Notamacropus eugenii: one gene and its partners. The protein of the gene in region 4 interacts with the protein of the main gene of each other region in a pairwise test. Links are inferred from orthologs where the notes say so. Each region holds a gene or a part of one and is shown on either strand. Other genes may lie near its edges.

What was found.
Region 1: the proteins of USHBP1 (region 4) and EXOC8 interact in binary tests that used the Homo sapiens proteins (3 or more experiments, as listed by UniProt). The two-hybrid records come from large-scale screens. The link is inferred for Notamacropus eugenii from reciprocal best matches to the Homo sapiens genes USHBP1 and EXOC8.
Region 2: the proteins of USHBP1 (region 4) and MED4 interact in binary tests that used the Homo sapiens proteins (3 or more experiments, as listed by UniProt). The two-hybrid records come from large-scale screens. The link is inferred for Notamacropus eugenii from reciprocal best matches to the Homo sapiens genes USHBP1 and MED4.
Region 3: the proteins of USHBP1 (region 4) and CNNM3 interact in binary tests that used the Homo sapiens proteins (3 or more experiments, as listed by UniProt). The two-hybrid records come from large-scale screens. The link is inferred for Notamacropus eugenii from reciprocal best matches to the Homo sapiens genes USHBP1 and CNNM3.

The regions. Positions count from the first base shown.
Region 1 is NC_092873.1:389,687,428-389,695,433, forward strand, and holds the start of EXOC8 (exocyst complex component 8), read right to left. Parts: upstream 3,019-8,006; coding exon 832-3,018; 3' UTR 1-831. Other genes in the region: DNA-dependent metalloprotease SPRTN, read left to right, coding at 3,516-3,739. UniProt on the Homo sapiens protein: Component of the exocyst complex involved in the docking of exocytic vesicles with fusion sites on the plasma membrane.
Region 2 is NC_092876.1:108,437,611-108,445,268, forward strand, and holds the start of MED4 (mediator of RNA polymerase II transcription subunit 4), read left to right. Parts: upstream 1-4,640; 5' UTR 4,641-4,968; coding exon 4,969-5,096; intron 5,097-7,658. UniProt on the Homo sapiens protein: Component of the Mediator complex, a coactivator involved in the regulated transcription of nearly all RNA polymerase II-dependent genes.
Region 3 is NC_092872.1:523,504,820-523,512,327, reverse strand, and holds the start of CNNM3 (metal transporter CNNM3), read left to right. Parts: upstream 1-4,508; 5' UTR 4,509-4,535; coding exon 4,536-5,889; intron 5,890-7,508. UniProt on the Homo sapiens protein: Probable metal transporter.
Region 4 is NC_092875.1:60,746,930-60,754,838, reverse strand, and holds the start of USHBP1 (harmonin-binding protein USHBP1), read left to right. Parts: upstream 1-4,895; 5' UTR 4,896-4,907; coding exon 4,908-4,961; exon of another isoform or gene 4,962-5,284; coding exon 5,285-5,454; exon of another isoform or gene 5,455-6,597; intron 6,598-7,909.

The DNA of each region.
Region 1 (8,006 bases), on a different chromosome or scaffold from region 4:
TATGTCACAAAGAAAATGAAATTAAAATTCAAGAACAAGAAACAAATGACTGTCACAGCACTTTGGTTTTCCAAGCATTTTGTTTCCAAAGCAGATTTTTAAAGGACAATAACCAACTAAATGTAATTAAGTTTATTCCAATTGTGCTAACAAAATTAATTGCACAATTTATTTTTATTAACTCGTTTCTTTCTAATACACTAAAGTGACTGGCATAGTCTCAGTTTCAACAAAATAAACTGTCTTCTTGAACATTTTTGTCTGAAATTTACCCTAAGGTTAAGTTTGCTAATATTTTTTGACTATGCTGCTGAATAACATTTTTTTTTAAAGGGAAGCAAATTGGGTTAATTATATGGCACTATACCTTTGAAGATAAACAGAAAATTCTTCTGGTAGTCCAGTGACTTACAGAACTTGGAAACAAAGTGTTGACATGTTTGATTTGCATGTAATTATAGATATATTTCTCTGTGCTGCATAAATACCACAAATAATACAACAAATGTGATTTGGCCCCTAGGATCATGAAGCATAGTACTGTGGTATGACCAACAAGGTATAAGGAATAGGGGTAATTAAAGAATATATTAGATGAAATCAAATTATCTTAATGGATTTTTACTCCTTTGATAAAATTTAACCATTTTTTCATTCTTCACATTCTCATCTTGAACTGCTACATAAGAGATGACCTTTTTTACTTTTATTTTTTTAAACTATGTTCTGGGATATAAAGAAGATTTTAATGTGTTATATAAATAATATACTAGTAATGCTGTATATAGACAAACAGACCTCTCTGGAAAAAAAAAATACAAGTGCTGTGTATCAGACCACTGAGGTTGTACTTTCAGGATTTACTCGAATAAGTCTAGATGCATTCCTCAAGTCTTGGAGTTGCTTGGCAGGTTTTCCTACACCTTGCTCAAACCTTTTTTCCACCACAGGGAGGACTGTTTCATATAGAAAGGATGCATTCTGTCTGATAAAGGCTTTCTTTTCTGGGTCCTGTTCACATCGGAGACTGTAATCCACATGTTGAACTGCAACCAATATTATTTCCACAAGACTCTCTAGAAGCACCATATGCAGCTCTGGAAAATACAATTTCAGAGCTTCTTCCAAGAAGCCCATAGTTTGTTTAGTGAAGGCCACTACTGTGTAGCTTAGGTTCACCCAGCAGTCATCCCCTGTGTACTGTTCAAAATTGCTCACCCCACAGCTTTTCATCTCCTCTTTGAGTTTCCCCAAGGCCTCTGGAGTCATCAGGTTCATCCTCCTCCACATTTCCTCAGAGTTTCGGTGCTTGGTGGCCTCAATTATGATTTCTTTATAACTGTGCAAAGCTCCTTGGATATCCTTCACCAGGAGTGCATGGATGATGAAAGTAAGGTCTAACCCAATATCACCCAACTGCTGGCAATGTTCCTTAGCCACCTTTACACACTCGGCTGCTGTAGACAAGCTCTCCTTGCTGTCAAATACCTGCTTGCTAAAAGCATCCACAAACATGCCCATGGCTGAACGGGCCCAAACAATAAAGGCAGAGTAGCAACCACTGTTGGTGCCTGCAAAATCAGTTTCAAACTCCCTAGCAGTCTCAAGAAGGCTGGTGAAGAATACATGACATAACTTGTGAATGTAGAGTAAAGTGGCACCTTCAATTCGCAGCTGTCTGATGGCAGTGTGCACAGCTGCTGCCCTATTTCTCAAAAACAGTTCACAAGCCTTGGTACACTGGCCAAGTCGTATTAACTGAGAAACTGCCCTTCGAGTGGCCTTAGGACCGCCTCTTAGAGAACGATCGGGGGAAAGTTCAAAGACTAGCACTTCAGTGAGTTGCCGGACTCGCTCATCCACTTTGGCCCTCAGCTCCTTTACAGAAGGTGGGCACGGCTTGCCCTCCAGATAGTGGTTTAACTTATCCAACAAGTCCACCGCCCCTTCAAAGTCCCTCTGGGCAATACAAACATCCAGGTCCTCCGGCAACTCCTGGATCCATTCCATCGATAAGTCCACTTTCTCCTCGACCTCGGGAGAAGTAGGCTCCTCCTCCTCTTCATCGTCCTCAAATGGGTTGGTGGCCTGCGAAGAGACGTGGGGCGGGCCCCGCGGGGCGGCGGCCTCCTCCTGTTCCCTTCGCCTTTTCTCGCCGAGGGCCCGCTTGGTTTCCTCCAGCACTTCCAGCCACTCCCTTTTGATCTTGGCATTCTCCGCCTGAAAGATTCGGCTCTCGGGGAACATCAGCAGCTTGAACATGTCCTTCATGGGCGGGTTATCCTTGACGTTCACCACCGCCAGACGGTCCAGCGGGTAGAGGGCGTTGTAGCGGTACATGCCCCGGCGCTGGGGCAGCCAGGTGGCCACCAGCAGGCAGTCGTTCATGAGAAAACCGTGCACCCGCTGCAGCTGGGCCATGTGGTCCGCCTCATACTCCACCAGGTCCCCGTTGTAGACCAGGTACTGCCCGGGGGTCTCCAGCATGTCCCTGCAGCCCTCCACTTTCTCCAGCAAGGTGGTCAGCGTGCGCTGCTTGCCTTCCTCGCCCGCACTCTGGCTGTCCCGGGCGGCGCCCCCGTGGCCCGCGAAGAAGCCGGCCGGGCCTCGCAGGTGGTCTCGGCCTCCCGGGCCGCCCGCGCCGCCCTCCTCGGCCCCGGCGGCGGCTCCCGCGGCGGCGGCGGCGGCCGCGGCGGCGGGGAGCAGGGTGAGCGGGATGCTCTCGAGGCTGCTCTTCTGCTCCGTCAGCAGGTGGCTGAGCTGGTACATCTCGCTCTCCAGGTAGGAGATCTCGCGCGCCGTCTCGATGAACTGCCGGTAGTTCTGGTACACGTTGCGCTTCAGATTCTGGGCCGTTTCCTCGGCCAGCGCCTGGATCCGCTGCCGGTGCTCCTGCAGGTCCCGGTCGCCGTCCGACTGCTGCGACAGCTGCTTCACGTACAGCCGCGCCTCGAAACCGCTCGATTCCAGCTGCCGCCGCAGGCGGCTCGCCCCGCTGTCTGACATGGCCATGGTCATCGCTTCCCCCAGTCACTGTCACGGTCTCCGCGGCCGCCGAGACCCACCCAACTCCGACGGAGTTCAGGGACCGGGGGAGACGGGCGGAAGCGAAGTGAATGCGCCTGCGCGGAAGGAGTCGGCCGGCGCTGGCTGCCAATCACGACGCATGCGCGCCGAGGGCGGGCTTAAGGGGTGTCAGGAAAATGAAGCCACCTGACTGCTGCGCCTGTGCAAAAAAAAAAAAAAAAAACACTTAAGACTAAGAGAGGAAGAAAAGCAGGAGGCGGCGACTGGGAAACTCCCTCCGGTAGTCAAGGCTCTGACGACTCAGGCCTTCCCGGAGATACCGGAAGTTGATGGTTTGTGGTTCTCGCGAGATCAGCTTCCGTTTCCGACCCGCTGATTCAAAACTCCGGCGTCAGCCTGCAGGAGCCCAGCTGGCTGCACTGTGAGTTTGCATCTTTCGGTGTTTTCCGGCTCCTCCCTCCGGGCTCCTTTCCGCTCTCCCGGCCGGGATGGAAGAGGACTTTGTGCTGGCCCTGAAGCTGCAGGAGGAATGGAACACGGAGGTCCCGGCGTTCGTCTCGCCCCCGAAGGAGCCCAAGTCGCTGGTGGACGAGGCTTGGGAGCTCGTGGACCCCAACCCGGATCCCCGAGCGCTGTTCGTGCAGTTCAATGAGCTGTATTTCTGGGGGCGGCTGGAGGCGGTGGAGGTGAAGTGGAGCTTTCGGATGACGCTGTAAGTCCGTCCCCGCAGTGCCCTGGGGGCCGTGGGGGCGGGGAAGCCCGGGCTGCCCCGCCTGGGAGCGGTCCCTCGGGCCCCTTGGCCCCCGGCACGGACCTGGGCTGCCCCCGGCGCGGACCTGGGCTGCCCCGGCCCAGATTTCTTCTTGGAGCGATAAAGCCAAAAATGAGTTCTGCCGTCTTGTGCTTTTACCTCCCCCTCCTTCCTGCGTACTTTTGAATGCGGAGGACTGGGCCGGAACTTCGTAGTCTAGAACCTGCCTTGCCCTGAAGCAAAATCTGATGGAGAAGATACGCATCTTATCGTCCTCCCCAGGGCTTGAACCCAGTCCTAGCAGCCTTAGTGTTTACAAGTGCTCCCCTTCTTTTGCTTCAGTAGTAAGAATTATGTTTTAATGGATGTGGATTCTTACTGAAGCGCAGCCCCCCAAACTTTGATTGGTATGAGCGTCTGTGATCCTTTCCTCCTTCTGACCCCCCTCTCCGCTTCCACCCCCCCCACCCCGCTTCCGGCACTCAGAAATCACCACCTGGTAATCCACCCTCTGCCGCAGTGATTGGATTTAGATTTTGAAGGGGCTTCAGAAGTCATCTAATCCAATTTAGAATCACAGGACTTGAATTTGGTTACTAACTCTGCCACTTGATACATGTTTGACCTTGGGCGAGTCACTCAATCCTTCCTAGGACTCAGTTTTTTCTTCTATTTGTTGAAGGAGTTTGAATCTTCCATCCATGCCTTACTTTTCTTTGGGACTCTTATCCACATCTTTCTCAAAAAGCATTCCACAGGAAAGCAGTCAACTTGGTGTGGTGGCCTTTCTCTTGATATGCAGCAATTAGTCAGCAGCTAGTAAATGACCACTATGGGCTGGGCACTGGGCATATCAGTATAATTAATTAATTAAGCAATCCCTTTTTGCAAGCAGCAAGGAGCTGCTCCTAATAAGGGGCAGACAGCAATGACGTACAAGTATAAAAAAAACTCCAAAAAAACAGAATAAATACAAGGTGGTTTGAATTGCACCCTCAAGGAAGAGATTCTATGAAGCTGAGTTGAGATTGGATTGCATTTCAGGCTTGGGGGACAGTGAAGGAAAGACAGAGGTGGAAAATGGAGTGTTTGTGAGAAACAGGGAAGGCCAGTTTGCTGGATCTCAGAGTAATGGAGGGAGTAATGTCCAGTGAACCTAGAAAGATACCGTGGGGTCAGGTTGTGAGGGCACTGAAAGTCAAGAAGAGGAGTTTTTATTTGATTCCAGAGAAAACAGGAAACCACTGGAGGTTAATTAGAAGGGAAGAATTAGTCATATTTATGATTAAGAAAAATCACTTTGGACAGTACTGCCCTAAAGTAGAAACCCAGGAGTCCTGGCTCATCCTGCCTTGGCCTGACCCTCTTCATACCTGAGGCATACTGGTGAAATCTCTCCCTTAATCCTACTCTGTCACTTTAAATTGATGCTTGCTGATCGAGATATGAGACAAGCTCATAGTCATGTTTTCAAAAAGTCTGCTGTGAGAAGAATAATTCGAAAGTCAAATGAAGGCTTTGCCCAGGGTTTTATGATCTCTGCTTTCCCAGACAAGTTCTTCCTTGTGACATTCCTTGAGATAATATTTCAACTTGTTAAAATACAGCATCAAATGGAAAAACCAGAGGCCTCAAATGGGAATATCTCAGTGTGAGTTTCTTAGTTTGTGACCAGAGTCCTTTGATTCTCCTCTTGTAGTTATTGTGTTGGATGAGATGTCATCAAGAAATGCTGAGGCAGAAGGTTGTTGGTGTTCACTCTATGGAAAATGGCTATTCAAAGGGCTCCTGATAGCCTTTAAAAAGAGGCAGAGCTTGGTAATTTAAGTAGTTTTTAAGTTCATGTAAGGAATTTCCGGTCCTCATTTTTACCTTATGACCATCTGGAAGGGATCAAATTTTGAGAAATAGAAAGTGTTCTCCCCTTCTCCTCCCCCCCCACCCCCCAAATACTAGCTTACCAGAATGCTAAGATGCCTTTGTATTGGTAATGGCCGTATACCTAATTGCTGTTTTACTTTGTTTTGGCTCTTTAATGCCTGTTGTGTACCTCTCTTTTTACCTTGCTGGGTTTGTAAGTTGAGTTTTGGGACTAAATTCAGCTGAAATTTCTTTTGAGCTTCCTCTTGTAATTTAAGAATAGGCTAAGAGGCATTATAAAAAAAATCTGGGAATTGTAGCCTGGACTGAAAGTGGGGAGAGATTTGAATCTGGATGATCAATTAGGAAGGAGTCCTTCAAAGTAATCAAGTGAGAAGTGATTTAGGCTTGAACTTGGGTGGTTGCTGTATCAAGAAAGGGTCTGATAAAACATATCAGGTGTGATCTAGGTTGTGGAAGGAGAAACAGGTTTGGCAACTGATTCATTATGTGGCTACTGAGGAAATGAAGATAAGGCCAAGATTATGAACCTGGACAGTTGTAAGAATGATGGTGCCTTTGGCAGATATGGGGAAGTTTGGAAGAAGCAAGAGTTGATTCAGGGACAGAATAATGAGTTCTGTTTTAGACATGTTGAGTTTGAGGTATCTCAGGTTGTCCATAGGCATCTGGTCATGTGAAGTTGAAGCTCCAAGGAGACAATTGAGCTGGATCTCTGTGTCTTCCAAATCATCAGTATAGATTTGATAGTTAAACCTTTGAGAGCTGTAGAGGTAACCAAAAAAGAATGTTTAGAGAGAAAAGAAAGGTGTAGGAGACCCACAGTTGAGAGGCATAATTTGGATGATTAATTAGTAAGAGAATGAGAAGGAGCTTTTATACACAGAGGAGAACCAGGAGAAAGTAGTGTCACAGAAAAGGAAAGGAGAAAGCATCCAAAAAGTGCCCTTTTATGTGAGAAAAATTTCACATTCTGCCTTTCCTGTCCTCCTCCTACTGTATCCCCGTTTCTCACTACCACCCACCCTCTTTTTTTAATCATCTCAATGTTGTATTGGATTTAGACTTATGACCTCTATAGATTTTAACTACCCTAATAATGATAAAGTTCTTAAGAGTTATGTGTATCACCTTCCCATATAGCAATGTAAACTTTTGTGTCTTTTGTGATTGCTTATTAATGTTTATCATTTTATTCTCCTCTTGAGTCTTGTGTTTGAATGTCAGATTTTCTATTTATCCCGATTATTTTCATCAGGAATTTTCAAGCATTCTTTTTCCCCTGGAAGGATTATACTTAGTTTTGCTGGGTAGGTTATTCTTGGTTGTAATCCTAGTTCCTTTGCCTTCCAGAGCATATTCCAAGCCCTCCTCTTTAACATGGAGGCTGCTAAATCTTGTGTGATCCTGTCTACATAGTATTTCAGTGGCTTCTTTCAAGCTGGTTGAAGTATTTTCTCTTTGTCCTGGCATCTCAGAAAGTTGGCTATACTATGCGTGGGAGTTTTCATTTTGGTTTCTTTCAGGAGGTAATTGGTAGGTAGATTCTTTCAGTTTCTAATTGCCTGGTGGAGCTAAGATATTAGCACATATTTCCTTAATAATTTTTTGAAATTTGATGTCTAGATCCCTTTTTTTGGTGATGGCTTTCAGGTAGTCTAATAATTCTTAAATTATTTCTCCTCAATCTACTTTCCAGGTCAGTTATTTTTCCAGTGAGAGAGTTTATATTCTATTTTTCCCCCATTCTTTTGACTTTGTTTCTCGATGTTTTATGTAGTCCTTAGCTTCCACTTGCTCAATTCTAATTTCTAAGGAATGATTTTCTTCAGTAAGCTTTTTTTTTTTCCATTTAGCAAATTATGCTTTTTAAGGAGTTCTTTTCTTCAGTGAATTTTTGTGCTTCTTTTACCCTTAGTCCACTTCTGTTTTTTAAAGTTATCTTCAGTATTTTTTGTGCTTCTTTTACCAAGGTGTAATTAAATTACATTCTCTTCATAATTTTCTTGCATCATTCTCATTTTTCCCCCAATTTTTCCTCTTCTGCTTGTATCTCTTTAATGTTTTCAGAACTTATTACAGCATTGTAGCTGTTGTATTCTTCTGAGATGGTATGTTGGTCTTCTCTGCCACTGTAGTAGTTTTTTATAGTCAAATTATTTTTTTTGTTTTGTTGCTCTTTTTCTCCAGCCTGTTTCTTGACTTTGTACTTTGTTAAAGTTGGACTCTGCTCACCTGGGGATGGGGAGCCACTGTCCCAAACGTCAGGCTTTTTTGTGTTGCTATTTGCAGAACTAATTTTGGAGTTTCTCAAGTTTTAAGTGCTTTCAAGGTGATGTGATCCATG
Region 2 (7,658 bases), on a different chromosome or scaffold from region 4:
CTATAGAAGGCTACACTTAAACATGAATAGATATATATATGCACACACACTCACATATGCACACATACATATATATGTACGCATACCCATATATAATATACACATACATATATACAATATATGTAAGACCATGCTATACATATTTCTATGTCAGTACTTTCTCTGGAGGTGGATAGTACCTTCCTTCATGGGTCAAAGTCCTTCCATGTTTTTCTAAAATCAACCAGCTCATTATTTCTTACATCAAAGTGAGTATTCCATCATAATCTTCTATCTCAACTTGTTTAACCATTCCTCAATTGAAGGTCATCTATCATTTTAGTCAACTTGATAGATGTAAGATGATATCTCAAAGTTGTTTTAATTTGCCCTTCTCTAATCAATAATGATTCAGAGCATTTTTTCATATGACTATAGTTTTGATTTCTTCATTGAAAAATTGCTTGTTTATATTCTTTGATCATTTATCATGGGGGAATGACTTGTATTCTTATAAATTTCACAAAGTCCTTTATATATTTGAGAGACCTTTATCTGAGAGATTGTCTATAAAAGTTTTTCTTCTAATTTTCTGCTTTCCTTCTAATTTTGGCTACATTGATCATTGAAATTATCCATTTCACACCTCAAATGTTCTCTATCTCTTGTTTCTTCATGTATTATTCTCCTATCCATGAGTCTGATAGTTAATATGTTCAATGCTCTAATTTTCTTGTGATACTTCCCTTTATATCCAGGTCATGTATCCATTTTGACCTTATCTTGGTACATAGTTTAAGAAATTGGTCTCAATTTGGTCTCAGTGCTCAGTTTTTGCCAGACTGCTTTCCAGCTTTCCCAACAATCTGTACGAAATAAAGAATTCTTATCCCTAAACTTAAATCTTTATATTCGACAAACACAAGGTTGCTATAGTCCTGTTCTCCTTTACCATCTTGTTCTAGAACTTCAGAGCAATTTTCATTGCAATATTGTATCAAGATTCTTCTTTTGGATCATAATTTTCAGGTAGTCCAACAATCTTTATATCGTCTCTCCTCCATCTGTTCTCCAGATTGGTTGTTTTTCTAATGAGATATTTCACATTCTCTTCTATATTTTCATTCTTTTGACCTTATTTTATTATTTTTTTAGTATCTTACAATATCAGCAACTTCCTCTTGCCCAATTCTAGCCTTCATTTTTATAAATTTGACTCAGTTCCCTATATGTCTGAGAAATGAGGCCTTTATTCAAGAAAGTTGCTTCAAAATTTTTTTCAGTTGCCATTGCTAACTGTATTTCCCTCCATCCTGTTCCTCCAATTCTAGTTTTCAAAGAGTTGTTTTCTTAAGTCTTTGGATCTCTTTTTCCAGTTGGTTGACTTTCTTTTTCATAATTTTCTTAGATTGCTCTTATTTTTTCTTCTAATTTTTCCTCAATCTCTTTTATTTGATTTTTGAAGTAGTAAGTTCTTCCATTTTAAGTTCTTCCAAGAACCCTTTTGGGCTTGTGATCAGCGGACATTTCTCTTTGAAAAAGAAATGCCTTTTTAAATTTCACCATCTTCCTCTGAATATGAACTCAGATCTTCTTTACCTCCAAAGTAGCCATCTATGGTAGGGTTCTTTCTCCTTTGCTTACTCATTTTTTATTTTTATTTTATTTTTAGCTGCTTATTATTGTAATCAGGTTCTAGTCCCAAGATGTGGGGAATGGCGGCCCAGGTGTCAGGTCTGTCTTACCATGACTTTCTGAGCTCTGTCCAGGGCCCAATCTTGAGCACCCCTCTTTATTCCTAAGCCATGGCTAGGGCCCCCAGCCGCACTGACTTGTAAATGCTCTTACTCCCTGCAGTCCCTCCCAGTGGCTGCAAACTTCACCTCTCCCTCTCTGCCCTGGAAACAAAATCAGGGACTCTGCTCTCCTTCTAGTGCCATAGCCAGCAGGGCTCCTGTCTGCTATCAGGCATGTGCTTGCTCCTTCTTGCCCACAGCTGCAGTCCAGGACCAATGTCTGATGAGCACAGCTGGGTCTGGCATCCAGGAACAGAAGAGGATCTTTTAATCTTACCCTACTTTGGACCCCTACAATGAGTGTGAGGTGAAAGTTTCTGAGGCCTGAGTTGACTGCCCCTTGACCCATCTGCCCCCAGGGTTTATAGTTTGTTGATTCACAGGAGTCTGCCAAGAGCTGTTTGCACTTCACTTAGGCCAAACCTCAACACCTCAAGTCTTTCCAGAAGTCTTCCCAAGTTGTCTTAGGAGGACAACTGTTTTACCTTGACTTTTATTTATTTCTGCTGCTCTTTGTTCATTTTGAGCGTAATATTTGCTGCAGTCTAGGAGTCTTGCGAACCCCAAAATTCAAGGGCAAAGGGATTGGGTATGCCTTGAAAGAATTCAACCCCCTCAAGTCTTCTTGCAGTCCAAGCCATTTATTAAAACACCAATTGGAGTGGATGAGATTCCTAGAGTCTGTGCTATTTGTGACACCTATACAAGTGGGCCAGATTTTAAGAATCTGACCAACATAATGGGGGAAAGATGGACGCTTTTCTACAGAAAGACTGTGGGAAGATCTGTGTCAAGTAAGCTGATTAAGTAATCAAGATGGGCTAGGGTGGGCCAGATGCCCACTCTAGATGAACTGGGCTGTGTAGGAAAGTCCAGAGTCTTTTAGAGGTCTATCATTAGTGCCCCATCAATGTTCTGTCTTTGTGGGGGAAATTTGTAGAGCTTGGAATTTTCTGATCTACTCTGCCAACTTCCCAGAATCCTCTAATAAAAAAATCTCATCTCATTCTGATCTCGTATTGGTCTGGTCAGCCACAGTCTGACACACTGAAATTTCACTGTATCATGGTGATGTCATTTTGGTCCTCTTCAAAGACGAAGGACAACAACCAATACAAAATCCCATCTTTTACAGGAAGCCTTCCCCAATGCCTCTTAGTTCTAGTGCTTTCCCCTTGTTAATTATTTCCTATTTATTCTCTGCATAGCTTGTTTGTTTTTTGTTGCCTCCTCATTAGACTGTGAGCTCTTTGAGGATGGGGAATATCTTTTGCCTCCTCTTATTCACCAGCATGGCATACAATATGCACTTGTATGTAAGGTGAATTTTAATGTGTTTAAAGTGACTTTTTGTTATTATTTCTCAAAGTTCAGTTTTCCAGGATCCATAGCTATAACAATCTTCAGTTCCCAGGTACTAGATGAGTTCCCACAGTTATGGTTTAAAACATCTCCACCACACTTGTGCATAGTTATATAATGGTAAATAACACAAACATCCACTGTGGCTGCACAGTGAGATACAGGGATGTGGTGATGTAAATTTGTGAGCCTGTTGCTGGTAATATGCCTTCTTTGTCTGTTGGTCTATAAAACAGGTGGTCACCAGGCATCGAATGGGGAACCTTTAGCGTTGAATGCACAAATGCTGTATGTGCCTCAACTGGACCCCATTGAAGCTTGAGGGAAATCCTTAGGGTTGAATGCACCAAGCTGGAATGCTGTGCATGCCTTGATTGGCCCATCGGCCCCCATCAAGGCTTGGGGGGAATCTGTTTGCCTCAACTGGCCCCCGTTGAGGGTTGAAGATTTAGTGGAAGCACAAGTTGTACCTGTCTCTATTGACCCCATCTAAACTTAGGGGTAGTTGTCTCCTGCTTCTCACCAGCCCCTGTGATAAGAGTGATTAAGGAATCCTGTAGGAGTTTGTGCTCTGTTATCAGCAACCCCTTCTCAGAGAACCAGACTAGAATAAAATAAGCTTATTAACCCCTTTTGAGTGTCTTTCCTGTCTGACCAAATCAAGAGTGAACCTGTGCCAGCAGCCCTTAAGTGTGCTCCATTTTACGTCTCACAGCACTTCACAAATGTTTCTTAATTAATTAGAATCCCTTGTTTCCTTCAAAAGACAAAAGCAGTTCCCCTGCCTTTTCCATGAAGCTTTCCCTGGACACCTGGCTTCTGGCATCCTCCCCTAAAAAAATCAGTTGGCATGTCCTAGTACTTATGTCTATCTGCATTTTCTCCCCTATCTTGAGGACAAGGACTAGGGTCACCCTTATCTTCTCTCACACTAAGACAGACTCATAATCCGGGCGCTTTATGTCAGGTATTTATGCTGAGGCAGTGTGGCACAGTGGGTAGAAAGCTAAGGAAACTAGAAAGGTTTGGGTTCATGGTCCTACTTCTTGCCCCCTGGGGTGCGTGGACCTGGGCAGGCCACTTTATCTTTGAACTGCAGAGAAGGCACAGCTGGGGGGAGACTGACTTGAAGAGGCTCGCAATCTGCCCCCCAGTACAGTATTGATTAGGCAAAGCGGGGCCCAGTCCTCTATCTTACTAGGCACTACCAGTCCAAACCACTGCTTCCTGAGCCGCCCCAGGGGGCCACCGAGGGCGGTCCTGCTTGGGTCACACTCAAGGTGGTCTGAGAGGCAGGATGGCACAGCGGGTGTAGACAGGTTCTGACTGTCCCACCGCAGTGGTGGGACCTCGGCCCTTCCTCATCTGCAATCCGAGGGGCGCCCCGGAGGACCTCCGAGGTCCTTTCAGCCCCAGACCTAAGATCCTGTGATGTGCATCACAGCCTGAGGAGGGGCGTTTCCACACCGGGAATGGTTTCCATAGCAACGAAGTCATAGACCCACATTAAAAAAAAAAAAAAAGATTGAGTTGGTTCGTAGAAGCATTGTGATGCGACAAGAAAACACGGAGTTTGCGCTCTTTTTCCCCAAGTCTCTGTCGTTTCGGATTCGAGATAAGGCGTCCGCGGGAGAAGCCAAGTCCCGGCTTCCCCAGGAGGGGGCACGGCGCCTGCAGCTGCTCCTCCGCCCCGCTAGCGGCCGCTGTCGGAGCGGCGGCGCTCCCCTCCCCCTAACTGCGCACTAGATGTTGTCGCACTGCTGCGGCTGCCGCATTCGTCTGTCTGCGGGCGGCGGGGAGGCGCGAATCGTCTGCTCTCTCTGCCTCGACGATGGCTGCGGCTTCGGCTACGGAGAAGGAGAAGGAGCGGCCGGGGTCGGTCAGCATCGCCAACGTGCCCGGCAACACCACGCGGGAGAAGCTGCTGTCTGTGCTGGAGGACCTGGAGGTGCTGTCGAGGTAGGGCTGCCGGGGGCAGGGCCGGGCGGGCGGGAGGCTGCAGCCGTCCAGGAGGCGGCCCGAGGCGCGGATTCAGCCTGCCGCGTCCCTCCGGGGCGGTCGGGGTGATGGGCCCGGGGCGGCCCGGCCGCCCGGGGAAGCGCGGCTGCGCAGCGGCCTGTGTCGGCGGGGAGCCCCGCGCCGGGCCTCGGCTTCCTGAGCCGTAGAAGGAGGGCCTTGTCCTCCCGCGCTGGTCACTCCGGGTAGTAGCCCCTGTTTATTTGGCCTCCCTGTCGATTTAAGTAGAACTTGTTCCGGGGGGGCGGGGAGGGGGCGGGGGCAGGCAGGGTGGTGCCCTGAAAAAGAGTGCGCACTTGTGGGCACCAAGGGATGGAGCGTCGGCCTGGGAGGCAGGAAGAACTGAGTGCGAATCCAGCCTCGCCGTTTTAGCTGTCCTTTAAACCAGGCACTTCAGCTGAGCTTAATTTCGTCATCTGTAAAAATGGGGGTGATAGTAGCCCCTGTCTGCGCAAGGATCATCGTCGTCGTCATCATCATCATTATTAGGGGATGATAATAATACCACCTGTCTCCCCAGGAATCATTATTATTATTATTGATTATTATGGGATGGTAGTAGCCCCTATCTGCCCAAGGATCATCGTCGTCGTCATCATCCTTATTATTGTTGATTATTATGGGATGATAGTAGCCCCTGTCTGCCCAAGGATCATCGTCGTCATCATCATCATCATTATTAGGGGATGATAATAATAACACCTGTCTCCCCAGGAATCATTGTTATTATTATTATTGATTATTATGGGATGAGAGTAACCCCTGTCTGCCCAAGTGTCATCATTATTATTATTAGGGGATAATAGTAACACCTGTCTGCCCAAGTATTCTTATTATTATTATTATTATTATTAGGGGATGATAGTAACACCTGTTTCCCCAAATATCATTATTATTATTTATTATTATCATTAGGTAATAACCCTAACACCTGCCTGCCCAAGTATCATCAGCGTCGTTATTATTATTGTTAATAACCAAATGAGATAACAGCCCAGGCTACGGACGATGAAGGTCAGAACCCACGGAGGTAGTTTCATGGATGGACAGGAGGACAATATGAAAGATGTCAGTGGAGGTGGAGTTAAGGAGAGCTGTATCTGATTGGGTGGTTGGGGAGGGGGGGGAGGTGCAGAGAGAGTGAATCTCTCCCAGATTGCGCACTTAAATAATGGGAAGAGTGATGGAGTCCTGGACAGAAATAAAGGAGATTAAGAGTCCTGGGGGGCTTAAGGAGGCCCGCGATGAGCCCTCTTTCGGACTGATGAGGTCTAAGATGCCCGCGTGACATCCAGGCGGAGCAGCCCAGCAGAATTGTGTCGGAGCGGGGGAGGGAGCTGAGAGCTACGCATGTGGATGGAGGATCATCGGCCTAGAGATGAGAGCTGAATGCTTGGGCGCTGATGAGAGGCAGGGGGACAGGGCTAAAGGATGAAAGGGTGTTACTGAGAGAACATCAAGAGGCCCAAGACAGAGCCCCGGGGAACACGGGCTTAAGACATGGGTGGTGGGCTTGCCATGGAAACTGAGGCGTGATCAGACAGGAGATCCACGTCTAGAACACTCAGAGAGGGGGAGAGCCTCCAGGGAAAAGGGGGTGGCGATCAGTGTCTAAAGCTGAAGAGGATTCAAGGAGGATGTCTGAGCGAAGGCTGTTTTAGGATTTTGGAATTTAGATCATTGGTGAACTTGAAGAAAGCAGTTTTCTGTGAATGGGGGAAATGGACATCAGATTGCAAGGCACTAAGACAATGGAATCTTAACCAAACAATACACCGAAATTGTAAAATATAAATAAATAAAACACTTCTGGTTACATAAAATTTAAAATCTTTTGCATGAATAAAACTGTAATTAAAATAAAAGAGATATTACAGAATGAGGAAGATCTTAACCTCAAACATATACGTGCTTAAACTCAGAATTACAAGATGATATAATAAATTGACAAAGCATGTAAGGCCAAAAACCATTTTGCATTCGATCAGTAGGCAAAGGAAAAAATAGTTTTCTCATTTTTCTCTTTTTAGATCCTCTTGTTGGTTTTCTGATTATGTATTGGTTTTTTGTTCAGGTTTTCACTCTCAGTCTTTTGGTCTTTCAATTTTTCTTGTGTCCTTTATCAGTCACCATTGGGAATTCTGACTCCTGAGTTCCTCCCCCCTTGCTTTGGTTCAGGGACTTGTAGACTGCAATGCTTTAGCTAGCCTTCCTATATTGGAGTATAGGGGGAGTAGGTCAACTGTAGCTTGAGTACCTCTGAGTAGAGGGGAGAGGACCTACTCCGAAATGGTTTTCTATTCCCTTTTCTGTCAGAGGGGAGCTCTTTTCTCTCCTCTAGCTCTGAGCCTGTATGCTATCTTCTGCCCTGGATTCTTCTGTCCTCCCTTCATTTCTTCAAATGACTGAGCAGAATTGGTGTCTACCCTTTTTGTGGAAAAGGGGACTTGTGCAGAGTCACTCACTGCTCTGGGAAATCCATAAAACTGGACCTTGGGTCACAAG
Region 3 (7,508 bases), on a different chromosome or scaffold from region 4:
ATTGTCTTCCCAGTGACAGGACAGGTATTCTGGATCTGTTGGATAATTATGTATTAACATAATGTTTGGAAACAGAAATGTATTCAAGATGGAGAGGAGACCAATGATATACTGTCATTGGCATGGACTTGGAGTCAGAAGATCTGATTTTGAGTCCCCATTCTGGGCTTCAGTTTCCTCAGTTGTAAGATGAATGGGTTGTACTAGAACATTTCTGGGGCAGCTGGTAGTACAGTGGATAGAGTGCCAGGCTTGTAGTCAAGAAGACTAATTTTTCTGAGTTCAAATCTGGCCTCAGACACTAACTGTGTGACCCTGGGCAAGTCACTTAACTTTACTGTTTGCCTTAGTTTCCTCATCTATAAAATGAGCTGGAGAAGGAAATGGCAAACCACTCCAGTATCTTTGTCAAGAAAACCCCAAATAGGGTCATGATGAGTCAGGCACAACTGAAACGACTGAACAGCAATAGAAGATCTGTAGGGTCCTTTGCAGTTCTAACATTCCATCAAAGTCTTTTCAACAGTCTGGTCTTTTGGCATAGGAGTTTACAAAACGGAAGATGCTGACCCATGAAACTAAGTTCAAGGCAATATGGTTCTGGATTTGGAGCTAGAGGACCTGGGTTTTAACTGTGGTTCTGTCATCTACTCCACTTGGCCTTGGCTAAGTCATTTCCCTTCTTTGGTTCTCAGTTCCCTCACCTATAAAGTGTAGGGGCTTGACCTTCCAGCTCTAAATATGATTCCACGACCATATCTTTTTGAATAAGGAATTATGGTATAAGGAAAGAAGTTCATATTTGGTTTTGAGTTCTACTTTAGACAATTGTACAAGTTGTATATCCCCTGGCAAGTCACATAACTTCTTCTGGGCCTCAGTTTCCTCATCTATAAAATGAGGATAGTAATGCCTGTGGTGCCTTGAGCCTATAAATGTCCATTGTTATTAAGATACTATAAGAAGGGGTGGAGACTATAATTAAGGAAAACCAGAAGGACACAAATGGGCCACAGTCCAGGCCCGAGGGATTGGTTAATGTCTGGCTTAGTGCTGGGGTCATACAAAGAGACACATCTAGAAGCCAGTGTAAGGGGAAAAAGTTAGGAATGGACTGGGTACATTACCACCACTGAAAACCTGCTGGATTCTTTAAAGTCTTTGGATATATTTTAAATGTTTTCCAAGTTTGTTAATTCCTAGTAATATCAGATAATCTTAAATCAATGGATAAGTATTTATTAATAATAACTTAATTATTAACATTTATTAAGTACCTAATACTCTTTTATAGCTCCTCTTTTAAGGAGAAAATTACTTCTCTAACAATAAGAAACTGCTTCTGGGTCCACAGGGGCTGGTGTCCTTTGCCCATTCCCTTCTTCATTACGAGGTCCATGTACTATGGACATATGTACATGGTCTGGACCTGTTCAGTCCTGGTAGCCCACCCTCTAATGAGAGTGGAGCTATGCTCTCATTTCTCATTCTTCAGCTCAAATCTTAACCCTAGTAATCCAGTATGACTTAGCTTAGGTTTTGGCTCATAGCTGATGTTTCTCCAAAAAGGGGCAGTAGAAAGTTATTCAGTGTGTATCATGAATCAGAGATGCAGGTATGCCTACACACAAGACAAATAAAACACAAAAGATAGCTCACACTGACAGAGCAATTTAGAACAGTGTTTTGCAATAACTGCCATTAACAGTCTTCTGGGAGGCTGATACTTAAACCTCATCACAACATAAAATAGTTTGCAGGTCTGGCTTCATATTAGACACTTTACATTTCACAGGAGCTCTCAACTGTCCAAACAACTCCCAGTATAACATCTGGTAAAATGGAGCCAATGATGGTCTTGTCTTCTATGACAAAGAAAACCCCCTTGCAACCAGGCAGTTTCACTCAATAAACCCAGTCCTTTTGGACCTCTTGGTCTTAAAAGTTGACTCCAAGCCTTTATACCTCCACCTTAAGGTTGATAATTACCTGTTCAGAAAGGGAAACACAAATCAGCCATAGGTCCAGATGCAAGCTTTCTTAATAGAATCCATTCTTCTTGTGGGAGTAGGGGAAAGCACATATCCCATCTCCACACAACTCATTGGGAGTTAAGAGAGTGAGTGAGCTCATTACTTCCCCTGCAGGAGAGTCAAGGCAAGGAGAGCTGACAGGAAGCAGGTTCTTCTTTGAACTGATTCAGCATCCTATCTCCTTGCCATCATAAGATGGGAAGAAGGACTAAAGGTCCATTCAAGATTTTCCAGGAGTCCCTTCAGCACTGGCCCCAGACATCTCATTTGTTTGACCAGGATCAAGAAGTGTAACTGAGAATGTCCTGTAGTATGTACCCCGTTCCAGACATACAGAGCAGTGAGTAAAAATCCAGAATCTGTGTCTACTCACAATGGTCAGTCAGTTGTGGCAATTAAAGTTCTTTTTGGCCAGCAGAACTTTTCTATCTTCTCCAGTTTGGTCATATTTAAAAAAAAAAAAATTTTATATTTTAACAGTTAACAAACATTTCCCAACAAAACAATCAAGCAATTTTTTCTCCTCAAAATACATTCCTGTAAAAGTTATCCAGCTTGAGTTTCCCACTACACCCTCTCAGCCACCAAGGGTTTCTAATCTAATGGTTGTCCTGTCCAGAACACACACCTTAAGCTAGGAGTCCCCTAAATCCATCGACCATTTCAGCAGCATTACCAGAGCAGTTTCATCATTATTCACATTTATATGGCATTTTACTCTTATAAAACCTACTCTTCATAGCAATCCTAGGAGGGGGGTAGTGTTACAAACGAAGAAACGGAATTTCACAGAGGCTAAGGAACTTGCCTAGAGTCATACAGCTATTAAGTAGCTGAGCTGAGGAATCTCAACCCAGTTTTCCTGGATCCAAATCCAGGGTTCTGTCTTGTATTCCATGATTCCTAACTAATAATTGCCAAGCAACATAGAAAAAAATAAAATCAAATGATCTCTTGAGCTAGTGAACCTGACCTTGATTGTACTCTGTTGATTTTTCAGGATCTCTTCCTGGGATTGCTTCTCCCTGGGATTGAAGTTTAACACAAAACAAAATACAGGAATGCTTGCATGGTTTGAGGCAGAAGAGACCTAGGAGCCTGTCTGGTTCAATCTAATTTCACAAACAAGAAAACCAAAGACCAAAGAGGGCAAGCAGACTCTAAAAGGTAGAATGTAAGTTCCATGAGGACAAGCACTCAGGCATATAAAAAAAAAAATTTTTTTTTTTTTTGCATCCTCAGTGCCTTGCACCTAAGATAGTTAATACAGATTTATTGATTTGGAATTTAATTGGGAGGAAGAAGAATTTGAATCCTGCCTTATACTTATTAACTATGACACAGGGCAACAACGTCAGCCTTAGTTGGTTGGATTCAATGACCCCTAAGGTCCTTTCCAGCTATAAACCTATAACCTTATAGAACCCAGTAGTACTTCTCAATCAGTGTGTGCCTTTAGAAGTTGTTAAAGTTCTTTGAAGAGAGGACTTCGGGAGGTGTTGGGTTTCAGGTACCCAATAGTTGGTCAACTTGCTCCATGAGAACAAAAACCTGTTTTGCGGGGCTTTCCCAGTTCTAGGACCGCCACGGCTTGGCCTCTTGTGAGTCAATGGACAAAAATACTCCTAGTCGATGCTCAATTCAATAAACCTTCATCAAGTACCGGAGCAGATAATAACGACACAACAAAAAGCCTCTGTCCTCAAGGAGCTCACCCACCGATAAGTAAATATAACACATATACCAAAGGAATATAACTAGGGTTGGGATTGGTTGGTTGGGGCGAGGAGTGAGAACACTAATAACGGAATCAGGGGAGATCTCCAGCAGGAAGGTGGGCAGCTGCACGTTGCAGTGGATGGAGCGCCTGGCTTGAGCCAGAAAGACCAAGTTCAAATTTCTGAAATGGGCGGAAGAAGGAAACGGCAAAGCACTGCAGTATCGAAGTCGGACACGACTGAAACGGCTCACCAGCTGATAATTGGGGGAGTCAGGAAAGGTCGGTCTCCAATAGGTAGGGGCACTTGAAATTAAGCTTTGAGAGGACCTTAAGCAGTGATGAGAGAGAGAATTTTAGGCGTAAGTGATGGACAGCCTGTGCAAACGCGTGGAGATGGGAGATGTAATGCTGTGCTTCTGCATTAAAAAAAAACCAACTAAAATAAGGAGCCTAAAATGTAAAAACATTAAATTAAATTAACTCAATAGATTCAACTGGCACCTTTCCCCCGCCTCCCGCCCCCACTACCCAACCCAGTTCCCAAGGGGTCAGACGGAGCATGTCACCTCTTTAAAACCAAACTCCACCACGTGCCCCGCCCCCCTCAGGTCACCCGCCCCCATCTTGTTTACAACGCGGCGCAGCCTAGTACTACTCCTGACGCTCCGCCCCCCTCCGTTTCCTATTGGCCAGAGGGGCGCGGATGGGCGCGTTGACTGGCCGGAGGGAGGCGGGGACCCTGGAGTAGGTTGCGCGGGCGGCCTAGAGGGGGGTGGCTGGTGATGGCGGCGGCGGCGGCAGCAGCGGCGACAGGCGGCCTACGCTGGGTGCTCGCCGCGCTGTGCTTGGGCTGCGCCGCTGGGGGGGAAGCGTCAGGCCCGCGCGTGCTGGGCTTTTGCTTGGAAGAGGACGGAGACGGGGCCGAGGGTCCAGTGTGGGCCCGGGGCCGGGTGGTCCGGGCCGCGCCCGGGGCCGCCTTCCGCTTGCGGCTCTTCGGCTCCGGCTTCGCCAACCGCTCGTGGCCCTGGGTGGCCTTCGCTCCCGCGGGCGAGGGCTGCCCAGAGGGGGGAGGGGAGCCGGAGCAGGGGGGCGCGCACGGGGGCGCGGGCGCGCCCCTGAGCGTGAACCCCGAAGCCGTGCGGCCTCACTCGGCGCTGCTCGCGGTGCGCGTGGAGCCCGGCGGGCCCGCGGGGGGCGCGCGCTACCGCTTGTGCAGCCGCGGGGGGCCCCAGGGGAGCTGGACGCCCGCGGCCGAGGGGGACTCGCTGGCCGTGGAGGAGGAGCCCCTGCTGCCCTGGGCGCTGGGCCTGCTGGCGGCCGCGCTGCTGGGGCTGGCGGCGCTGGCCCGGGGGCTGCAGCTGAGCGCCCTGGCGCTGGAGCCGGCTGAAGTGCAGGTGCTGCGCGAGAGCGGCTCGGAGGCGGAGCGGGCGGCGGCGCGGCGCCTGGAGCCCCTGCGGCGCTGGGGCAGCTTCGCCCTGTGCGCCCTACTGCTGCTGGCCAGTCTGGCCCAGGCTGCGCTCGCCGTGCTCCTCTACCGTGCCGTGGGCCAAAGAGCTGTGCCCGCCGTGCTGGGCAGCGCGGGCCTCGTCTACCTGGTGGGCGAGGTGGCGCCCGCGGCCGTCAGCGGCCGATGGGGCCTGAGCCTGGCCCCGCGCGCGCTGGGGCTCACCCGCCTGGCCGTCCTGCTCACTTTCCCCGTGGCCTTGCCCGTGGGCAAGCTCTTGGAGCTGGCCCTGCGCCCGGAAGGCGGGCGGCTGCGGGAGCGCGTGGTGGATCTGGCCCGGGGCACTGACCCCTACAATGAGTTCGTGAGGGAGGAGTTCAGCAAGGGGGCCCTGCGGTGCAAAACGGTGGAGGACGTGCTCACCCCGCTCAAAGATTGTTTCATGCTGGACTCTTCGGCCGTCCTGGACTTCGGCGTCATGTCCACCATCATGCAGAGCGGCTACACCCGCATCCCCGTGTACGAGGAAGAGCGCTCCAACATCGTGGACATGCTCTATCTCAAGGACTTGGCCTTCGTGGACCCGGAGGACTGCACCCCGCTCAGCACCATCATCCGATTCTACAATCACCCCCTCCACTTCGTCTTCAACGACACCAAGCTGGATGCCGTCCTGGAGGAATTCAAACGAGGTAACTGGTGCTGCCGTTCGGAGCTGTGGCTTCCTCCTGTAGGGAGTTGGACTGGGATTTGAATGGGATACTTGGAAGAGTGGGGCGGGGCCGCTGATGTAGGGAGGATGTACCCTGGTCTCCGTGCACTTGAGTATCCATTGGATTTTGGATTGCGAAGCTGGTAGGGACCGCAGAAGTCATCTAGTTCCACCTCCCTCATTTACAAATGAGGAATCTGAATCACACAGCCCAGGTGGCCCAGCTGGAATTTGAACCCAAATCCTCCATCTCCAAACCTAGCTTTCCTCTTGTCCTGTAGCTGTCCTGCAACCTCGTTTCATTTGAAAAAAAAAAATTCAGTAAGACAATCTAGCCGAAGGCAGGGGTCAGGGCACAAGGATGTGCCATGTCAAGAGAAGTATTAAGAAGTCTGTATGGAAGCCCAGAGCTGGGGGAAGATCCTTGGCCAAGTCGCCTTTTCTGGGTCTCACGAGCACAGGAGCGTAGATTTTAAAGCCAGACCTTTGCGTCAAAAGAACTCATCGAAGACCTGAATCAGAAACTGAAGGGATCTAATGGTTTTAGAGCCCTGGATAGTCATAGATTTGGGAGCTTTAGAGAATCAAACCATTCCATCCTCTATTTTAGAGATAAGAAATCTGAGACCCAGAAAAGGTGAAGAGATTTACCCAAAGTGACAGTTAATGAGTGGCAGAGCTGGGATTTGAACTTGGGCCTCCGGATTCCAGATCCAGTGCTCATTGCTGGACATCCATCTTAATTTCAGTTCACTTTGTTAAATTATTGGTTGCTCGAGTATTTATATTATGTGTAGAATACCATTATTCTCCTTCCCCTTTCTTCTTTCTTCCCTGTTAGTCAGTTTAGGGAGTCTTGTTCTTTCTGAGATCTTTTGTAGAATTTCTGAGGATTTCTTAAACTATAGCTGGAAGCAGAACAAAGCTCGGAATTTGAATTTAAAGTTTTATCCACCCTTGTGGGGAGGGAGCCCATTTATCTGTTCATCTTTAAGTTGGCACTTTCAGTTTCTAGGGGAACCTTGGATACTGTTGAAGGCATATAATAATAACAATAGCAAAGACTTGTTATGTTTACAGAGCATTTAGATATGTTTTCTCATTGGTTCATCTCTACCACCCTGGGAGATTGGTACTGTTGTATTATCCCCTTTTTACTGGTGAGAAAACTGTCCCAGAGAAGTTAAGGGACTTGCCCTGGGTCACACAACTAGGTCAGGCCACTAAGTCTCTGAAGTTAGTGCAGCCCTCTGTGCCACATGGCTGCTTCTGCCACCTGTGCTGTCTGTTTACAGAGAATAAAGCAACAATACTTAAGGTTTTCTAAAGAATAAAGAACTTTTATTTTTCTTTATTTAAAACAATTTTACTGATGTCACTATAGCTTTTGTCTTTCTTCTTGTGTAGCACCTTCCCTTCCCTCCAGGTTACTGCCCCCATTTGCCTGTGCTTTTCTTTGAGAGTTGAGAATAAACTTGTCAGACTCCCTGGGAAATACAGGGTGCATGATTCCTTTTGTTTTCTCTTGCCTGTATACATTGTAGATTTTATCAGTAGGTCACTTCGGGGTTAAAAGGGTGAGACAACATAGTACATAGG
Region 4 (7,909 bases):
CACACCGGTGGGGGCTTGTGAACAAAGTACTAGTAATTAGCCTCTCTGGGTGATCCCTAAAATTGGTAGTAGCATCTGTTCTCTGGATATTAAGCCCATCAGGACAGTAACTGCCAGTACAGTACAAAGTATAAGTGGGAGCTGCAGAAATAGCCTTGGAAAATGTACTACAGATGTCCATCCGTTGGGGAATGACTGAACAAGTTGTGGCATATGAATGTAATGGAATACTATTGTGCTGTAAGAAATGATAAGCAGAGACTTCAGAACAACCTGGAAAGACTTATATGAACTGAGGCTGAGTGAAGTGAGCAGAACCAGGAAAACATCATACTAAGTAAAAGCCACATTGTGCGATGACTGACTGATAGACTTAGCTCTTCTCAGCAATGCAGGGATTGAAGACAACTCCAAAAGACTCACTATGGAAAGTGCTAGTCATGTCCAGAGAAAGAACCTTGGAGTCTGAATGCAGATGGAGGTAGACTATTTGCTCTCCTTTTCTTTTGTTGTTTCATTTTGTTTCTTCTTTCTCATGATTTTTCCCATTAGTTCTAATTCTTCTTTACATCATGACTAATGTGAAAATATGTTTAATATGAATGTATAAGTAGAGCCTATATCAGATTCATGCTGTTTTGGTGAGGGGGGAGGAGAGGCAGAGGGAGAAAATTAAAAACTCAAAATCTATGGAAGTAAATGTTGAAAACTAAAAATAAATTAATTATCTTTAAAAAAAAAAAAAAAGGAAAGGTGCTACAATATGTTCTACAATTTTTTCTGGAACTGAGTAAAGCTCAGTGGCCCATTGGAAATCAGGACATTTGCCTTTCTCCAATCCTATAAGACTGATCCCTTCTTTTCTCCCAGAACTTTTAGTGATCACTGACAGTGGCTCAGCAATCATATCCGCCAACCCTGTTCTAGAATGTCATCAGTAGAGACAGGATATAGTCCATTCACATCTGGCTTCTTGAACTCATTTCTCTCAGGGATCTTGCCTTTCAATAATCCACTTACTATTTTGTTCTATCATTCCTAGCCTCCCCATTTCCATTCTCCTAGTTCTCTCCCCATTCATGCTTCCCAAATTTTTTTCCCATTCTGATTCTTCCAGTTTTTTCTGATTCTCATTTCTTCATCCTTACCACTCACTCCCCTTAGATCTGCCCCATCTTACTCTTCAGTTCTAACAACCTTACTTCCCTCCCTGTTTCTCATCCCCTCAAGTCTCTCCCTCACCCCCTATTCTCCTCCCTCATTTCCTTCCTTCCTTGCTTTTGGTCCTAGGGTGTGTAGGGAACACATGCCCTTGGGGAGGAAACTACACAATAGGGACCCACGTGACAGGGGGGAGGTGGTATCCTACTTCCCTGAGTCCAGCCCCCAGTCTTTCCGGCACTGGCTTGACCAGCTGTTGACAGTGATGGTCCTATTAGTAGGACTGGTGGCCTGGGCTTTCACTCTGTCAGTAACAGGGAGCCCTGGGGGAGTCCTGGTCTCCTGAAGCTTTCCTTCTCTTGATGACCCCACTGTGAGCCAGAGGTACCCATTACACCTGGGAGGGTCTGGGGGTCCTGCCTTAGCAGTGGGGGTGGTGATCTCCCTGTCCTAGCTTTACTCTTGGCTTTGGGTATCTGGATCCCCACAGGCTTTGTTAAGAAAAGGGAACAAGGGTGATGAGGGACTGTGTCAGGCCCTTGGTATGAGTCTGATAAATGCAGGCAGGAGGGTATCAGTGAGCTAGGATCCAGTATTTTCATCCACTGCAACTCTGGTAACTCCCGGGGTAATGAGGCTGGATAGAATGGGAGCTCTGAAGTCCCAACTCACTCACCCTTCCTAGAAGGATAAGTATCTTCCAGTCAGATGTATACTGGGGCTCATGCTGGCTGGGTCTGGTTTTGGAATCTCTTCTCAGCTTCTAAAAGCTCTCTTTCCCTTCTGACTCTGGGCTCAGCCCCAGAACTTCCAATGGAAGGTTTTTCAAAGCTTTGATATTTACCATCTGTGTGACCTTGGGCAAATCACTTCCCTAATCTGATTCTTAGTTTCTTCATCTGCTAAAGGAAGGGCTTGGTCTAGGTAGTGGTTCCCATCCTTTTCAGGCATGAAAAGCAGTGGCATTACTGGCATCCATTATGCAAGATGAATTTGTATTTTATTAATCATTATGTATATTTTAATAAGTGATATGTGTATATATAAGCAAAAGTATTTGTTTAGCCTGCAGAAGATAAATTGTTTGCTCATTTGTTACACTGAGACAGTCCTTCCATGACATGGAGCTTTTGCATTAACTCTGAGATTGACAGGAGTCTGCAGCCTGCAGATCAAGAACCACTGGGCCAGGAGATACTGATGATATCTCCATGAACGGTCAACCTGTGGCACTAGAAGGGACCTTAAAAAGAGGTCATGTAGTACACATTGTTTTACAGATAAGAAAACTGAGGCCCAGACAGGGAAAGTTACTTGCATCAGGTCACAGAGAGAATCAGTGGCCAAGTTAACTTTAGCCATTCCTAACTCAAGATAAAGATCTCCTCAAAGGACCATCTGAGCTATCAAAACCTAGCATTTATGTATGCCCAGTCCAGAGCCAGGCATCCTGTGAGGTATGGGAAAAGACAGGGGAAAGGAAAGAACTAGCTCTGCCCTTGGGGAGCTTGTTGTAGTCAGGCTGGGGAGATGAAACTCCCATGGGATGTTTTGAGAATCATGTAGAAGAATATGTCTCCTCCTCTATCTCTGCCTGCCAATATCCTGCCCTTCCTTCTTGTCTCAGTTCCAAAGTGATCTTCTCCAGGAAGTCTTCCCTGTTCCACCCCACCCCTATCAGAAGTGATCTCTCTCTCCTCTGAGACCCTATCTAACTGTCTTGTGGTCTTGCCTTGTATTTCTGGGCATAGAAGAAAAAAGCTATTTTCCCAGCTAGACAGTAAGTTCTTAGCCCTGTCTCTCCCATAGTCCCAAGTAAATGTATGTTGAAAAATGGGAGGAAGGAATGCTGCTAAATGTTAGGTAGAGGAGGAGACAAGGAGAGAACTTGGAATTCTTGGCTAAGGAGTTTAACTGTTTGTTCCATGGGTGATAGGGAGCCACAGAAAATGAGAGGAAGGGCATGACCAAAGCTGAATTTTAGGAAGATTCAACGTTTAAATTTAATAAGCATTTAAATGGCATTTATGAGATACAATGAGCCGGGTACTGGGGATACAAAGACAAAAAGGGACCATTCTGCACTCAAAGAGTTTGCTTTTTTGTGGGATTCAGTATGTGCACAGACAAGTTTAAAGAAAGATGATTTAAGAAGGAAGAGAATACTAGCAAATGGTTGGACTGGGGAAAGTTTTCTGGAAGAGGATGAAATGAAATAAAAGCCTTTATTAAGCATTTACTATGTACCAAGCACTATGCTAAGTGTTAAGAGACTGGAGGGGGAGAAGCTAGAAGCAGGCAGGGGGACTAGCTGGAGACTGATTGGTATAGGAGGACTTTGGAAAGAGAAGCACATCTGCTGAATTCTGGAACTGGGAAAGCAGACAGTGACGAGGGAAGCAATACACCCTTATCAGCAGTCAGAAATGCAGGTAGGTGAGGCATGGGGTTGCATGGGGCAGGTAGCGATCAGATGTGAGGATGAGCAAAAGATTCCCAATTTGGATAGAAAGGGAGGTTGTTAGAGCAGGGATTCTTTTTTTAATTAATTAATTTTTGGTTTTCAATATTCACTCTTATAAGATTATGAGTTCTAAATTTCCCCTCCTCTCTCCCCAAGATGGCACACAACCTAACATACGCCATACATGTACAATCATATCAAACGTATTTCTACATCAGCTGTGTTCTGAAAGAAGAATCAGAACAAAAAGGGAAAACCACGGGAAAGGGGAAAAAAGGAGAAAGTAGTCTGCTTTGATCTGCATTCAGACTCCATGGTTCTTTCTCTGGATGTGGATAGCATTTTCTATCATGGGACTTTTGGAGTTGTCTTAAATCACTGTTGTGGAGAAGAGGTAGGTCTATCAAGGTTGGTCATCAAACAATGTTGCTGTTCCTGCATATAGTGACATAGTTCTGTAGATTAGGGATTCTTAACCTTGGGCCCACGGACTCCCTAGGGGTCTGCAGATATATTCCTGGGAGACCATGCATTTACATATACATATATGTGTGTATATGTATATATGTATGTGTGTGTGTATATATATATACACACACACACATACATATATAGACAACTGTAAAAATACAGAGGATTACAAAGGAAACCAATTAAATTGCATTTTTATTTTATGCATTGAAAAACATTATTCTGAGAAGGTTTCACCATATGTTTCACCAGACTAACTTCCAAAGGGCTCCAGGACACAAATGGGTTAGAGTATCATCTATCAGAGTATTACATGTAAACTTCCTTCTAAGACCTCTGCCTGCCTTTTCCAGGGATTTCTTCTATATTTCTTGCTGGACCAGTGACTGATATCACATAACCTAAGCTCTCCCTAAGCTGACAAGTATGGTAAAGTAAGTAGCTGTACCAGGTAAGGAAGAGAGAAAGAGCTCTAGTCTGATTCTTTCACAATGTCTGGTTGGAAGACTCAATGTAAAGACTTGACTTGATGAGTGTAGCTGGGTAAGGAAAAAAGATGATGGGGAGGTGCCTTTGAGAGTTCAGACTAGGGAGACTGAGAGTATGGCAGTGCTGGTGACAGAAACGGAAATCAGGAAGATGAACTTGTTTGGGTGCGGATGAGACACTAAGAACTAAGGTCCAACAAAACAAAGGTAAAAGGTCACAGGGCCAAAGTCTTTGGGATTCATGGCTGGACAGAAATAGATTGGGGGGATGTCAGCGGGGCCCACCTTCTCTCTGTCCCCCACAGGTCAGCTCCAAACCAAAGATGAGCAGCCGAGCTAGCAGACCCCGGAGCCGGCGGGGGAGGGCACCACCCCCAGTGAGTGATGGCAATCCATGGACAGGCCGAGTGTGGCCACCTCTCCCTCTGTCAGGCAGGGTGGGGTTGGAAAGAATGGAAAGGCCCCTGGGTTACCTTAACTCTGGAGGCCTTTCCCCACCTCTCAAGCTTTAGTCTTGGGGCCTATTTGCCAATCTGAAACCCTCATCTTCCCAGAAAATTCTGAACCTTAAGTTCTGCCCAATGGAGGTATCCCCAGAATTCCTTGACCAGAGTGTCCCCTCCATGACCCACAATACTGACATAGGATGTTAGTCCACTGGGGCTCAGAACCCCGTGACCAAGGCTAAGGGTGCTTGCAGGGGGAGCTGGACCCTGTGGTGGAGAGCACTGAAGAGGCAGACACCATGGGAAGCAGCGTTGGACCAGAGCAGGCACCCAGACTGCCCAGGGAAGAGTCACTGGCAGAGCACCTGGTCATCACTGCAGAGCCCAGCAGCCAGAGTGACTGTCTACAGCTGGACAGACCCAGGTAGGACTGGGGCTGGGGGGCAAAGGGCAGAAAGGTATGACCCCCTGTCATGTCTTACTGCTCTGAGCTCTGACTTTACAGGGAGAAAGCTGGCTTATAGGCTTCCTAAAGTTTCTCCCAGCTCTGACTTCATGTACTCTGTTCCAATGTCCCTTTCCAGCTCTGCCATTTCATGTTCTGAGGGCTCTCCCTTCTCTGACACTGTGTTCTAACATCCCTCTCAGCTCTGACATTCCCTGTTCTAAGGGCCCTCCCAGTTCTGATATCCTGGGTTCTAAGGGTCCTCCCAGCCCTGATACTCTGGGTTCTAAGGGCCCTCCATCTCTGACAGTCTGTGTCCTAAGGTCCTTCCCAACTCTAACAGTCTGTGACTCAGGAAAGAATTTGACTCTTCTGGAATGATTTGTAGTTGTTGGATTTCTGCTTTTAAAGGACACATTATTGGTCATTTCTCTGGTTATGTAATCACAGAGTCTCAGCTTCTGAAGGACTTTTGAAGGTCAAAAGGTTTAACTTTTACCTGGTGCTGAGGAGCCCTTTGAACACAGAACCTCGTGTGAGACAACATAGCTAGCAGCGATTAAGCACGCGTGCGCACACGCACGCACACACACACTTGCACACACACAGACACAGACATACACACACAGCTACACACACACATACACACACAGACACAGACATACACATACACACACAGCTACAGACACACATACACACACAGACACAGACATACACATACACACACAGCTACACACACACATACACACACAGACACAGACATACACACACACACACACACACACACACACACACACACACATTGGGCCTTGGAAGAGACACTAGGTTTCAATAAGGAGCCCACAATACAGAAAGGGACAAGTGTCCTATAGGTAGTCGCAACAGGGAAAGGGGTGGTGATGGGACCTAGGATTTTATAGGTGAGGCAGCACCAGCTGAAGAACTTCCTGTACCATCACACGTGGGGAAACATCTTGGCCACGGGTCATCTTGAGGAGTTTCCTGGAGCATTGGGGAGTTCAGTGATTTTCATGGAATCCCAGAGCCAGGATGCAGAACGGAAAGGATTGTAACTCAGATCTCCATAGGCAGCTCACCGCTGTCCGCTATACCACAGGACCTCTAGACGGGCGATAAGCAAACACAAGTTTGTATAATTATGGTACCTGTATGTGCCCACATACACACGTATGTGTACCTACCTACATATATACATGTACCTACATATACATAAAATAGTTCTAATAGAGTATATTTACAGAATCTTAGAATATATAACATAGGAATATATAGAATAATGGGGCATAGACTAATATAGAATATGGAATCTTAAAATATAGCATCTTATATACAATATAAAAATACCTAGAATAATATAGACTAATAAAGCATTAATATAGAATTTTAAAATATAGGTATATGTATTTATAGCAACTTAGAATATACAATTGATATAAAATGAAAGGTAATCATTTGTTGTATTATAGTTATAAATGTATACACATATACTTATAGAATTTTAGAATATGTATATATATTCATAGGAACTTAGAATAGATATAATGGCTGTAATATAACACATAGGTCTATACATATACTTAAAGAATCTTAAATACATGCGATATAGAAACATAGAGAATGACAGACTATAGTCCAGAAGGGATTAATATAGAATCTTAGAATGCATACATGTGTATATATGTATATATATTTAATTGGATCTCTACATAGAGAGAGACAGATACACAAGAAGCACCAGAACATGGAGGAGAAAGGCTCTGCCTCTGAGCCAGAAGACAACCCCTCACACATATTAGCGGCATGACTCTAACCAAGTCACTCTCTAAATGCAGAGAGGGAGAAAGGGGGCTAACCTCTATTAACAGAAGGGAGTTTCTTCATGGAGGTATTCCCTACATCAGTGAAACCACAGATTCTCTCTCTCTCTCTTTCTCTCTCATCTCTTTCTTTCTCTCTCTGTCTCTGTCTCTTTTTAATCTCTCTCTCTTTCTGTCTCTGTCTGTCTCTTTCTTCCTTTGTATCTCTCTCTCTTTTCCTCTTTCTCACAGTCTCAGTCTCTCTCTTTCCTTTTCACTCCATTTCTGTCTCCCTCTCTATCTCTCTCTTCCTTTCTGTCTCTCCTTTTCTCTCATCTCTTTCTTTCTCTCTGTCTTTTTCTCTCTTTCTCTGTCTATTTCCCTTTCTCTTTCCATCTCTGTCTCTCTCTCACAAACATAAGAGCCTTGGAGAGTTATTTTTTTAAGTGCTATGTAAGGCCTATTGGGGAAAGCTCTTACCAAATGAGGGGCTGGGAGAGGGACAGCTGGGTACAAGAGAAAGAAATTTCCCAGGGGTGGTAGCATTTAAATTTGATTTTGAAGAATAACTAGGAGTCATCTGGTGGTGAGAGAGAGGGAAAACATTCTAGATGAGG